Sus scrofa: one gene and its partner. The protein of the gene in region 2 purifies or fractionates together with the protein of the main gene of each other region. This does not show direct contact. Links are inferred from orthologs where the notes say so. Each region holds a gene or a part of one and is shown on either strand. Other genes may lie near its edges.

Region 1 (5,731 bases), on a different chromosome or scaffold from region 2:
AAGTTGTACAGCTGCATGTAAATCAATGAAACTAGAACACACCCTCATACCATGCACAAAAATAAACTCAAAATGGCTTAAAGAAATTCCCTTGTGTCTCAGGTCACTGCTGTGGTGTGGATTCAATCCTTCGCCCAGGAACTTTCAGATACCACAGGTACAACCAAAAAAAAAAAAAAAAGAAGACATAAATATAAGGAGTTCCCATCGTGGCTCAGAGGAAATGAATCTGTCTAGCATCCATGAGGACACAGGTTCAATCCCTGGCCTTGCTCAGTGGGTTAAGGATCTGGCATTTCTGTGAGCTGTGGTGTAGGTCGAAGATGTGGCTTAGATCCAGCATTGCTGTGGCTGTGGCATAGGCCAGCGGCTACAGCTCCGATTTCACCCCTAGCCTGGGAACCTCCATATGCCATAGGTGTGGCCCTAGAAAAGAAAAAACAAAAGACTTAAACATAAGACATGTCACCACAAAACACCTAGAAGAGACCACAGGTACAACATTCTCTGACATAAACCATACCAATGTTTTCTTAGGTCAGTATCCCCAGGCAGTAGAAATAAAAGCAGAAATAAAGAAATAGGACCTTACCAAACTTACAAACTTTTGCACAGCAAAGGAAACCATAAACAAAATGAAAAAACAACCCATAGAATGGGAGAAAATATTTGCAAATGATGTGATTGACAATGGCTTAATTTTCAAAATATACAAACAGCTCATACAATTCAATAACAAAAAACAAAACAAAACAAACTCAATCGAAAAATGGGCAGAAGACCTAAACAGACATTTCTCCAAAGAAGCCATATGGATGTCTTTCAATAGGCATGTGAAAAGATGCTCAACATTGCTAATTATTAGAGAAATGTAAATCAAAACTACAATGAGGTACCACCTCACACCGGTCAGAATGGCCATCATTAATAAGTCTACAAATAGTAAATGCTGGAGGTGATGTGGAGAAAAGGGAACCCTCCTACACCTTTGGTAGGAATATAAATTGTTACAACCACTATGGAAAACAGTATGGAGGTTCCTCAGAAAACTAAATACAGAACTCCCATATGATCCAGCAATCCCACTCCTGGACATATATCCAGACAAAGTTTTCATTCAAAAAGATACATGCATATAAAAAAATAAAAGATACATGCACCCCTAGGTTCATTGCAGTACTATTCACAATAGCCAAGACGTGGAAACAACCAAAGTGTCCATCGACATGGATGGATTAAGATGTGGTGCATATATACAATGAAATACTACTCAGCCATAAAAGAGAACGAAATAATACCATTTGCAGCAACATGGATGCAACTAGAAATTCTTATACTAAGTGAAGTAAGTCAGAAAGAGAAAGACAAATACCATATGACATCAATTACGTGGAATCTAAAATATGGCAAATATCTACAAAACAAAAACAGACTCACAGACATAGAGATCAGACCTGTGGTTATCAAGGGGGAGGGAGGAAGCAGTAAGATGGACGAGGAGGGAGTAGCAGACACTGCAAACAGTACAAAAGATAATTTTCTACTCTGGCGAAGTTTGAACTAATTTTGGATGGCTTTTCTATTCTGATATTCCAAATCTCTGTGAATGATGAACAAGGCCTGAGTCTCCCAGATAAACACCTCGTTTCTCTTACCCAACGCGGAGCTCCTGATCAGGTCTGAAAGTTTGCCCCCCACCCCGCAAAAAAAAAAAAAACAAAAAACAAAAAACTTTATAGAACAAGTTTTAGGTCCAGATTGCCTCTTCCAGGGAAGACTGAGATTACGGAGTCTCCTCGAGGCTCCAGAGCGGCCACCAGATGGCGCTCTGGCACCAACTGCAAATCAACTTCCTTCCTCTTCCCCTAACTCTTCCCGGCAGCGGGGCCCCCGCTCGAAGCGAGGGACCAGAGGGCTGGGTCCCTCCAGCTTCCCCTTGGGATTCCCCGGCTTCTGAGGTGGCCAAGCATTAGATGCAACATAAGCTGAGTAGCAGCAGGGGCTGCCAGCCGGCTGGGACAGGCCAGGGTAAGAGAGGAGACCGGAGCCGCGGTCCTCGGCTGGGGAATGGCGCTGGGTCAGCGGATCCCGCAGCAGGCTGGTCCCTAGGACAAAACTCACACCTGATTGAGGGCCATCCTCACTCTCGCTTCGCGCGCTGAGCAAATATTTCCCCTCTAAGGGGCGCGCCTGAGTCACTTGCGATTGGTTACTCGAGTCCGGAGTTAAACTTTCAGCCAATGAAAAACGGCATGGGGAGTGACGCACGGAAACGTCACGGGAATTCCCCCCTCCTGGGGCGGAAAAGGGGCTTTCCCGGCTGGAGTCCTGGTAGCTGGAAAGGTGTCGCGACCCGTCCGGGGTGGGTCGGGCCGGGAGAGAATCCGGAACCTGAGCCGCCGCAGCGGTGAGTGGCCGGGTTCAGACCCCTGGGTGGCAGGACACGGGGAAGGGCGGGAGGAGGACCCTTAGCTGACCGAGCCCAAGGGCTGAAGAGAGGCGTCTGCACACTCACAGAGAGCACGCACACGATCAAGATACACGCATACACACTGATGTCCTTGTATAAAGACAGGCGGGCCGTTTGTTACACCTTCACATATGCCGGCGTGTGCACAGCACTATCCATGCAGACTCGCTCACACAAGGACCCGCAAAACACGCACACCGTGCACAGGTGCCTGGACCCATACCCTTCACGCACAAACTCGAAGATGTGTTCACCTGTGCTCTTACATACATGCTCAGATGTTTCCGCACTGAGAAGTTTAAGGACACTCACCTGTATACGCATGTTCAAGCCATGAACACACAACACGCAAGCACATGGGCCGAAACACACTTGTACACCTATGATGCAGATGCATACATGTATTACACACGGCTTTGGGACTGGGGCGTAGGGCGTAGGCAGCCAGAGTAGGTGCAGTGTGGGAATTAACGGCTGTTGAGATGTTTTCGGGAGGGGTAACAGGGGAGCCCATCCCAAGGAGACCCTTTCCTTCCCCCGCCCCAGGGCCCCAGAGACCAGTTATCCGGGCAGAGCCCCGGGGCCCCTCACTGGGAAGAGCCCCCACCTACAGGCCTTCGGGGAGTAGGCCTTCCTACTGCAGGAATGTCCCCCCAAAAGCCCCCAGGGTGATTCAGCCGTGGCCTCACTCGGGGTAGAAAATCCCAAGGTTGCTCCAGGACGGGGGAGGGAAGGAGGCGGACCTGACCCCGTACTAGGAGCCTCCCCCAGCTTTGAAAGACCCTCCCGTCCCCGGCGCCTGCCCTGGAGGGAGGAGGAAGGGGTGCCCAGCCCCGCGGGACCTTCCCAGCATCTGGTAGCCCCTCGACTTCGCGGAGACGCTGCGGGCGCTAGCAAGCCAACTGAGACCTTGAGCCCCTCCCGTCTCGGGGGCGTGGCCAGTGCGTCATTTCCAGGCCCGCCCCCTCCGGCCCCGCCTCCCCCTGGTATTTTCGGGACTTTCCTAAGCTGTTCTAACTTTCCTGCCCTTCCCCGGCCCAGCCCAGCTCCGGATCTTGCCCTCCACCGGATCTTGCCCGCCACACCCGGACGGGTGGCTGGAGATCAGACCCTCCCCTAAATCCAGGCCCCCCCTTTCCCCCCAACTCCCGTCCTGATCTTTCTCTCCCAACCCCTCCACTCCTCCCCACCTAAGGCGGGCGCCTGAAACTCCGGGGAAACAGCACCCGGCCGGCCGGAGCCACCGGACAGAGCTGGGCCTAGCCCAGAGACATGGACAGTTGCTACGACCCAGTGAGTCACTTTGCCTGGCCCCAAAGCCGGCCGGTTGCCCCCTGTGCCTGTCTGCTTGTCTGCCTGCACCTGTAATGTCCTTAGATTATCTCAGCCTGCCTGTCAGTTACCTCTGTCTGCAAACTGCTTCCAATAGGAGTTTTCTTTTATGGGCCTGGGGAGGAGGAGTGATTATGGAGGGCTTGGAGAGCTGAGAGCTGGAGGGCCCCGAGAGTGGCTCAGAATCAGATGCTACCCCAGTCTGTCTCCACAGCAGAGTCTGCCTGGCATCATCGAATATGATGATTTCAAATTCAACCCGTCCATTGTGGAGCCCAAGGAGCCGGCCCCAGAGACAGGTTAGTAAGTCCCCCGACCTCCCCTTGTCTTGGAGGGAGGAACATGTGCCCTCTGCCTTGGGAATGGACTCAGAAGTCCTGGCTCAACAAAGTCCCTCTGTCCCCAGCTGATGGCCCCTACCTGGTGATCGTGGAACAGCCTAAGCAGGTGAGTGAAAGAGATGGCATGGAATGGTTTCAGCTTTGGGGGCAAGTGGGATAGTTGGGTGGCCATGGTGACCACAGACCCACTTGGGTTGAGGTGGTTGGTTGCTGCTGATCACAGCAGTATGGTTGTGAATTCAGGATAGATACATGCAATTATTATGGTCACTGCTGGCTGGTAGCAGGGGAGGGGGGTTTGGGGGCCTCATGGTCACAATGTCACTCTGCCCTGGCACCTTCAGCGAGGCTTCCGATTCCGATATGGCTGCGAAGGCCCTTCCCATGGAGGACTGCCAGGTGCCTCTAGTGAGAAGGGCCGGAAGACTTATCCCACTGTCAAGGTGAGCCTGGATGGTGCTGGGGGGGGCAGGGGTGACTCGTGGACAATGTCCATAAACATTACTGACAGCCCTCACCCCTCACAGATCTGTAACTATGAGGGACCAGCGAAGATCGAGGTGGACCTGGTAACACACAGTGACCCGCCTCGTGCTCATGCCCACAGCCTGGTGGGCAAGCAGTGCTCGGAGCTGGGGGTCTGCGCAGTGTCTGTGGGGCCCAAGGACATGACTGCCCAGTAGGTGCCCCATACCCTTGGCTCCCAATGGCATGCCCCCTCATTGCTTGTCCCAGTCCTAGGCCCTGGCCCACCTCTGTGAGCTTAGTGTCTGACCAAGGGGAGAGACTGCAGCTGGCCCCAGAACCCAAAGCCCCAAGTAAAAACTAGAAAAGCTTCCTAGAGAAGTAGGGCTGAGCTGAGTCCTGGCAGTGGGGAGGGTGCCTCAAGAGCAAAGAACTGCCTGCAAGGCCTCTGACTCCCTCCCTCCCCCACCCAGATTTAATAACTTGGGTGTCCTGCATGTGACCAAGAAGAACATGATGGAGATTATGATACAAAAACTTCAGAGGCAGCGGCTTCGCTCCAGGCCTCAGGGCCTTACAGGTATGGGGGAGATGGAGGGAGTCAAGGGAGGTGGTCATGGAAGGGAAGAGTAGAGGAGGAGGAGGAGTCCAGGGGTCACATGTGTGCCCAATACCCAGAGGCTGAGCGTCGGGAGCTGGAGCAGGAGGCTAAGGAGCTGAAGAAGGTGATGGATTTGAGCATTGTGCGGCTGCGCTTTTCTGCCTTCCTTCGAGCCAGTGACGGCTCCTTCTCTCTGCCCCTGAAGCCGGTTATCTCCCAACCCATCCATGACAGCAGTGAGTATCCTGACTACCCAGGGTGCCAGAGGGAGTATGGAGGGCAGCCTCAAGCTGTGGAGTAGGATAGGCCTGGGTTTGAACTTGGCCCCACCATGAATAAACTGAGTGATCCTGAGCAAATCATTTCCCCTCTCTTGAATATGGTTTCTGTCTTGTGTAAACAAAGATACTAGCACTTCCTGTACTTCTTGGCATTGTCCAAATGATACAAAGCAACCTGGCTCCATAAATGGGACCACGACTATTATATCATCTCACATAATTGATATCCCACCTCCATAGA
Region 2 (5,945 bases):
AATTTATCCTATGATATTTCCAAGAGACATGGTCACCCTTAAGCAAAGTTATACAAGTATTCATGGTCAATTAATACCATTTGGGGGGGGTCTTTTTTCTAGGGCTGCACCCATAGCATAAGGAGGTTCCCAGGAGGTGTGGCCGTCAGCTTATGCCACAGCCACAGAAACACCAGATCCAAGCGGCATCTGTGACCTATACCACAGCTCATAGCAACGCCAGATCCTTAGCCCCCTTGATTAAAGCCAGGGATCAAACCTGCCTCCTCAAGGATGCTAGTCAGACTCGTTTACTCTGAGCCACGACAGGAACTCCAAGTAATACCATTTTTAATCTGGAAAAAAATCTAAATATCATTAAATCCAACCTTGTTATTATAAAAGAAGGTACCCCATAGCAAAGGTAGCTAATTCATTCAACTAATGTGCAGCTCATTAAGGGTGGAGCTGGGAAGTGAGATCTCCTACTTAGCGTCACATGCCACCTTGCCTAATAATGATGTATTTGTCTATCAAATGCCTACAAAGACATACAGAGTCTCTCCCTGGACAGTTTTCATTTTATTATGTGATCGTTACTACCCCAAAGATTTCTTTCTTGATTTTATTTTGTCCCTCATATTCTGTCTGTCATCCCTACATTCAGATATCAGAGGTGGGGGTATTGGGGAGGGGGAGATGAGGAGAGGAAAAGGATTGGTTGGTGCATGGCCAGTCAAGTTGAAGATGATTGCAACAATCACGAGAAATCTCTGCAAAACTATAAAAGCTTCCTGGGGTGCCTTCTGAAAAAGTCTGATCCAAGTTGCTTTATTAGGGCCTGGACCATTTCTAGAAGTAGATGAATGCATTCCTTTCATTGGCTAGGAGGTGGGGATGGGGCAGAGAGCATACTTCTGTTTCTGCAGCTGAGACCTGGACATGGTGAACCTGGAGTAGCTACCCATATGGCATGGACAGGTCCAACTGCTGCCCCCTCCTTTGTCCCCCAAGAAGCCAGCAGGGGCAGGATGAAGGCCACCTTGGGGCTGCCCTGAGCCTCCTGCAGTATGCCTGGCAACTACTTTCTTAGCCATCTTTAAGGCCCAATCTTGGGTAAAATACTACTCAACCCATTCTTTAGCCACCTTCTCCAAATGCTTCTAGAAAGCGGCCCCCACAAGTAGGTTCTCTGCAGCAGCACAGTGCAAATGGAGGAACACGACCTCAGTAATTATTTTGTCACTGCAAAGTATCTACAACCTTTGCTATAAAAATTAACACCTTGCTTTCCCTGAAAAATAGCCCAGTCATATCCAGCATTTTCCAGCATCCAGGGCAGAGTGCTTGCTCCTCCCCCAGTCAACAGGACTGTTCATACCGAGGAAATGATTTGAGGGTTCTCTAAGCATTTACGCTGTTAATGCTAAAGCTTTCACGACTTCTACCTGAGGGGGGCTTGAGGGAGGGGGAGGTTTATGTCCCTGCACTGCCAGGAGCCTGGTCTTTGGTAGGAACGCAGAGGCAGCCGGCGACCTTCCACCCTCAGTGTGTCCTTCCCCAGGAGTTTAGGGAAGTGAATCCCTAGATCCAGCCAACATTTCCACTCCCATTTTCAAGAGATTAAAAAAAAAAAAAAAAAAAAAAAAGGAAAGCATCGGCAGGTCAGCAAACCAGCAGTTCTCCATCCTTGGGATCTTAGCAGCCGACGACCCCAAATCAAATCGATCGTGGGAAACCCCAGGGAAAATAAGGTTCCATGCAGAGGGCCAGGATTACTGACTGCAGGCTGCAGGGAAGTACCGGGGGAGGGGGCCGGGTCGGGAGGACTTTCCAGCCACTCAGCGTGCATTAAAAAGTTCCCTGTACATGACCCCAGTGGCTCATCGCAGGGAGTTTCTCTGATGAACCCGGGCGCGGGGTTTAGGCTTCTTTTTCCCCCAGCAGAGGACGAGGCCAGTTCTCTTTTCTGGTCTGACTGGCTTGGAAATTCCCCGAGCTTGACCCCGCCCAGGAGAAATCCCCTGCCAGCGTTTATAGGGCGCCGCGGCGGCGCTGCCGAGCCCACAACAGTCCGAGGCCATCGTCCCGCCCGCCCGAGCCACCGCGAGCAGCCAGCGCGCCGCGCAGCCTGTGGCCCGCGCACCTAGGGAGCAGCGCCCAAGCCCTCATCGCGCCATGTTCCAGCCCGCAGAGCCCGGCCAGGAGTGGGCCATGGAGGGGCCCCGGGACGCGCTCAAGAAGGAGCGGCTACTGGATGACCGCCACGACAGCGGCCTGGACTCCATGAAGGACGAGGAGTACGAGCAGATGGTGAAGGAGCTGCGCGAGATCCGCCTCGAGCCGCAGGAGGCGCCCCGCGGCGCCGAGCCCTGGAAGCAGCAGCTCACCGAGGACGGAGACTCGTAAGTGTCGCGGGCCCGGGTGGCGGGGCCGGGTGGGGGCGCTGGGCCTGCAGCCGGAGGTGCGGGGCCCGCGCTGCGGCCGCGAATCGGGGTTCGTGCACGGACCCCGAGGCTGTGCAAAGGTGCACGGTTGCGCGTGGGAGCCGGGGATCGGGGATTGGGGCCGTGGTCCCGCGGCTCTACCTTGCAGCCGTGCACACCTCCCACCCCTCACCCACCTTTGCGGGTCCCCTCGGCCGGGGGCGGGGCGGCCACGGGGACGCGAAGTCCCCGCTTGCATAAGGGGGGGCGGGAGTTTCTGCCCCGCTGGCGGGCGGGAGGGGAAGTACAGGGCGTTCCGGCCCGGCGGGAGGGCGGGGCGGTCTGGCCGGCGCCCGCCGCCTGGGGAGGGGGGGGGGGCGGAAAGTCCCTGGGTGCCTGCCAGGAACACTCAGCTCATAATAACCTCGCGGAAAACACCGCGGCCTCGGCCTCCAGAAACCCCGGGCTTGCGCAATCCCCTGCGGGCTGTGCCTCCCTGGGCCCCACGCAGTGCACTCACCAGCCCTGGGGGTTTTCCCTCTCTTCCCCTCAGGTTCCTGCACTTGGCCATCATCCATGAAGAGAAGGCACTGACCATGGAAGTGGTCCGCCAAGTGAAGGGAGATCTGGCTTTTCTTAACTTCCAGAACAACCTGCAGCAGGTGCGCTGCTTGCCCGCCCCGTGCCTCTTGGGTTCTGCCTCTCTGACCCCTTGATGGAGCTGGATCTAGCACAGTTATTTCCAATGATTTCCCAATTAACTGCCCCTAGTCATGATCCGCCCTGAGCTTTTACATCTGAATCAGCCAACATCCTAGAGAGGAAGGAAAAATCCCATTGATTTGGTGAGGCTTTTATGAAGCCCACCTGGGGTCTCCCGTCTGTTTCCTTAACCCCTTGTATCTGTCTGGGAGGAGCGGCACGCACAACCAGGATATCTCTAGGGTTCAAGGGGAACATGGATTGTGGGTTTGATCCATGGCTTATCCTTTCTGTCCCTCTTCTGTTGGTAGACTCCACTCCACTTGGCGGTGATCACCAACCAGCCAGAAATCGCTGAGGCACTTCTGGAAGCTGGCTGTGATCCTGAGCTCCGAGACTTTCGAGGAAATACCCCTCTACACCTTGCCTGTGAGCAGGGCTGCCTGGCCAGTGTGGGAGTCCTGACTCAGCCCCGCGGGACCCAGCACCTCCACTCCATTCTGCAGGCCACCAACTACAATGGTAAGTCTGGCTGCCCTATGCATCAGAGGGCACGTGACACAGACAAGGGAGAGGTGGGCCGACTTAAGGCAAGGTGTAAACTCTCAACACGTGAAAGGCTGAGAAAACATGTATGCATCAAGGTCTTAGTAAAACATGTATGCATTTGATGCCTTACTAAAGTCCATTCAGAACCCAGAGTCTGGGTTCTTCAAATTCAGAAGACCTCCTCCCTTAAAAGAATAGGTGAAAGTTCTGAGAAGTGAGGGTGGCAACAAGTGCTTATATTTTGTTACTTTTGGTACTCTAGGCCACACATGTCTGCACTTAGCCTCGATCCATGGCTACCTGGGCATTGTGGAGCTGTTGGTGTCTTTGGGTGCTGATGTCAACGCTCAGGTGGGTGCTTCAAGCCTACAGATGGAGGGCATTCAGCCCTCAATAAGATCACATGCTCTTGCTGCTAGCAGAAACCTCAGACTCAGCCATAAGCATCTCAAATTCCTTTTGGTTTCAGGAGCCCTGCAATGGCCGAACCGCCCTGCATCTTGCGGTGGACCTGCAGAATCCCGACCTGGTGTCGCTCTTGTTGAAGTGTGGGGCTGATGTCAACAGAGTCACCTACCAGGGCTACTCCCCGTACCAGCTCACCTGGGGCCGCCCAAGCACTCGGATACAGCAGCAGCTGGGCCAGCTGACCCTAGAAAACCTCCAGATGCTTCCAGAGAGCGAGGATGAGGAGAGCTATGACACGGAGTCAGAGTTCACAGAGGATGAGGTGAGTCCCAATGACCTTGTTCACGGGTCTGCAAAAAGCAATGCTCTCGGACCCCTAGAGCTCCTCCTTTTCCTGAGGGTCTCAACATAATGAGGATCTCAAATTAGGGAGCATAAGCAGTGTCCTAAGAGTAGGTTTAGGGGGAGGATTATGGTCTGGGGTTTTCTTTTGCTTTTTTGCTCTTTTTGAAGGAGAGGATCCTTAAAGGAAAACTTCAGCCCAGGAAGTTAATTCAGATTCGGGTTAGAGGGAACGGAGTCCAAGAATACTTGCGTTATTTCCAGTAGCAGCCCTTGCCATCACCCCAGCACCTTTGGCAAAGTTCTGGAAGTTTAACATGCCTTTCTTTCCCCTTTTAGCTGCCCTATGACGACTGCGTGCTTGGAGGCCAGCGCCTGACGTTATGAGCTTTGGAAAGTGTCTAAAAGACCATGGACTTGTACATTTGTACAAAATCAAGAGTTTTATTTTTCTAAAAAAAAAGAAAAAAAGAAAAAAAAAGAAAAAAGGGTATACTTATAACCACACCGCACACTGCCTGGCCTGAAACATTTTGCTCTGGTGGATTAGCCCCGATTTTGTTATTCTTGTGAACTTTGGAAAGGCGCCAAGGAGGATCATCGGAATGCAGAGAGAACCTCTTTTAAACGGCACCTTGGTGGGGCCTGGGGGAAAGGTTATCCCTAATTTGATGGGACTCTTTTATTTATTGCGCTTCTTGGTTGAACCACCATGGAGTCAGTGGTGGAGCCCAGGTGTATCTGGGAAATGTTAGAATCAGGTGTGTTGTTAAACCTGTCAGTGGGGTGGGGTTAAAAGTCACGACCTGTCAAGGTTTGTGTTACCCTGCTGTAAATACTGTACATAATGTATTTTGTTGGTAATTATTTTGGTACTTCTAAGATGTATATTTATTAAATGGATTTTTACAAACAGAATTCTGATCACTGTCTTCTTCGGGCAGCTGTGGGACTCCTACACTGAGAGTCATTCGAACCCCAAGTGGAGGTGGAGGTGGAGAATTGTGTGGGAGCATTTACCACAGCCAACCACGGAACTCTTTCAGAGAACAGCTTCTCACACCGTCTACACCAGCCTCCCGGCCAGGCTTTGCAGGCAGCCCCAGGCCCAGTGCGTGGGAGGGGAGGCTGTTGCAAGGTGATAGGAAACACCAGTTTCAGGCTTGGGGTGGCAGCAAGTTGGTTGGCCTACAGCTGGAAGGCTCTTCATTGTCGCTTGCTTTCATCTTCCTGGTTTAAATTCAGCCAGGACCTTACTTCTGCTTTAGGAAGCTTTAGCCAAGAGGAGTTAGTTGTACTCATATTTTGATACTAGAAGTTCCTGAGGACATGGGCTGGGGAACAGGACCCCCCACTAATGTGTTAGCAGGTGCCCACCTCTGCACCTTTGTTTCCCTGATGATAAAACTCGGCCATTGGTAAATTGTACAAGACAATCCACGTAACAAGCACAGCAGAGTGCCAGGCACAGAGTGCTAAAGAAAAATGCAAACTGTTGCACAACATCCTGTATTTCACACGGGAAGGAACAAGACCAGA

What was found. The genes of interacting proteins can lie anywhere in the genome.
Region 1: the proteins of NFKBIA (region 2) and NFKB2 purify together in Homo sapiens (affinity purification with mass spectrometry; 6 studies listed by BioGRID and IntAct, counting the BioPlex papers as one, with this or other methods). This does not show direct contact. The link is inferred for Sus scrofa from reciprocal best matches to the Homo sapiens genes NFKBIA and NFKB2.

Annotation. Positions count from the first base shown.
Region 1 is NC_010456.5:113,404,127-113,409,857, forward strand, and holds the start of NFKB2 (nuclear factor NF-kappa-B p100 subunit), read left to right. Parts: upstream 1-2,285; 5' UTR 2,286-2,407; intron 2,408-2,782; exon of another isoform or gene 2,783-3,305; intron 3,306-3,437; exon of another isoform or gene 3,438-3,665; 5' UTR 3,666-3,742; coding exon 3,743-3,763; intron 3,764-4,016; coding exon 4,017-4,101; intron 4,102-4,208; coding exon 4,209-4,249; intron 4,250-4,487; coding exon 4,488-4,586; intron 4,587-4,670; coding exon 4,671-4,822; intron 4,823-5,081; coding exon 5,082-5,188; intron 5,189-5,286; coding exon 5,287-5,445; intron 5,446-5,730; coding exon 5,731-5,731. UniProt on the Homo sapiens protein: NF-kappa-B is a pleiotropic transcription factor present in almost all cell types and is the endpoint of a series of signal transduction events that are initiated by a vast array of stimuli related to many biological processes such as inflammation, immunity, differentiation, cell growth, tumorigenesis and apoptosis.
Region 2 is NC_010449.5:64,505,962-64,511,906, forward strand, and holds NFKBIA (NF-kappa-B inhibitor alpha), read left to right. Parts: upstream 1-2,157; coding exon 2,158-2,384; intron 2,385-2,602; exon of another isoform or gene 2,603-2,952; intron 2,953-2,958; coding exon 2,959-3,067; intron 3,068-3,418; coding exon 3,419-3,629; intron 3,630-3,918; coding exon 3,919-4,007; intron 4,008-4,125; coding exon 4,126-4,386; intron 4,387-4,745; coding exon 4,746-4,793; downstream 4,794-5,945. UniProt on the Homo sapiens protein: Inhibits the activity of dimeric NF-kappa-B/REL complexes by trapping REL (RELA/p65 and NFKB1/p50) dimers in the cytoplasm by masking their nuclear localization signals.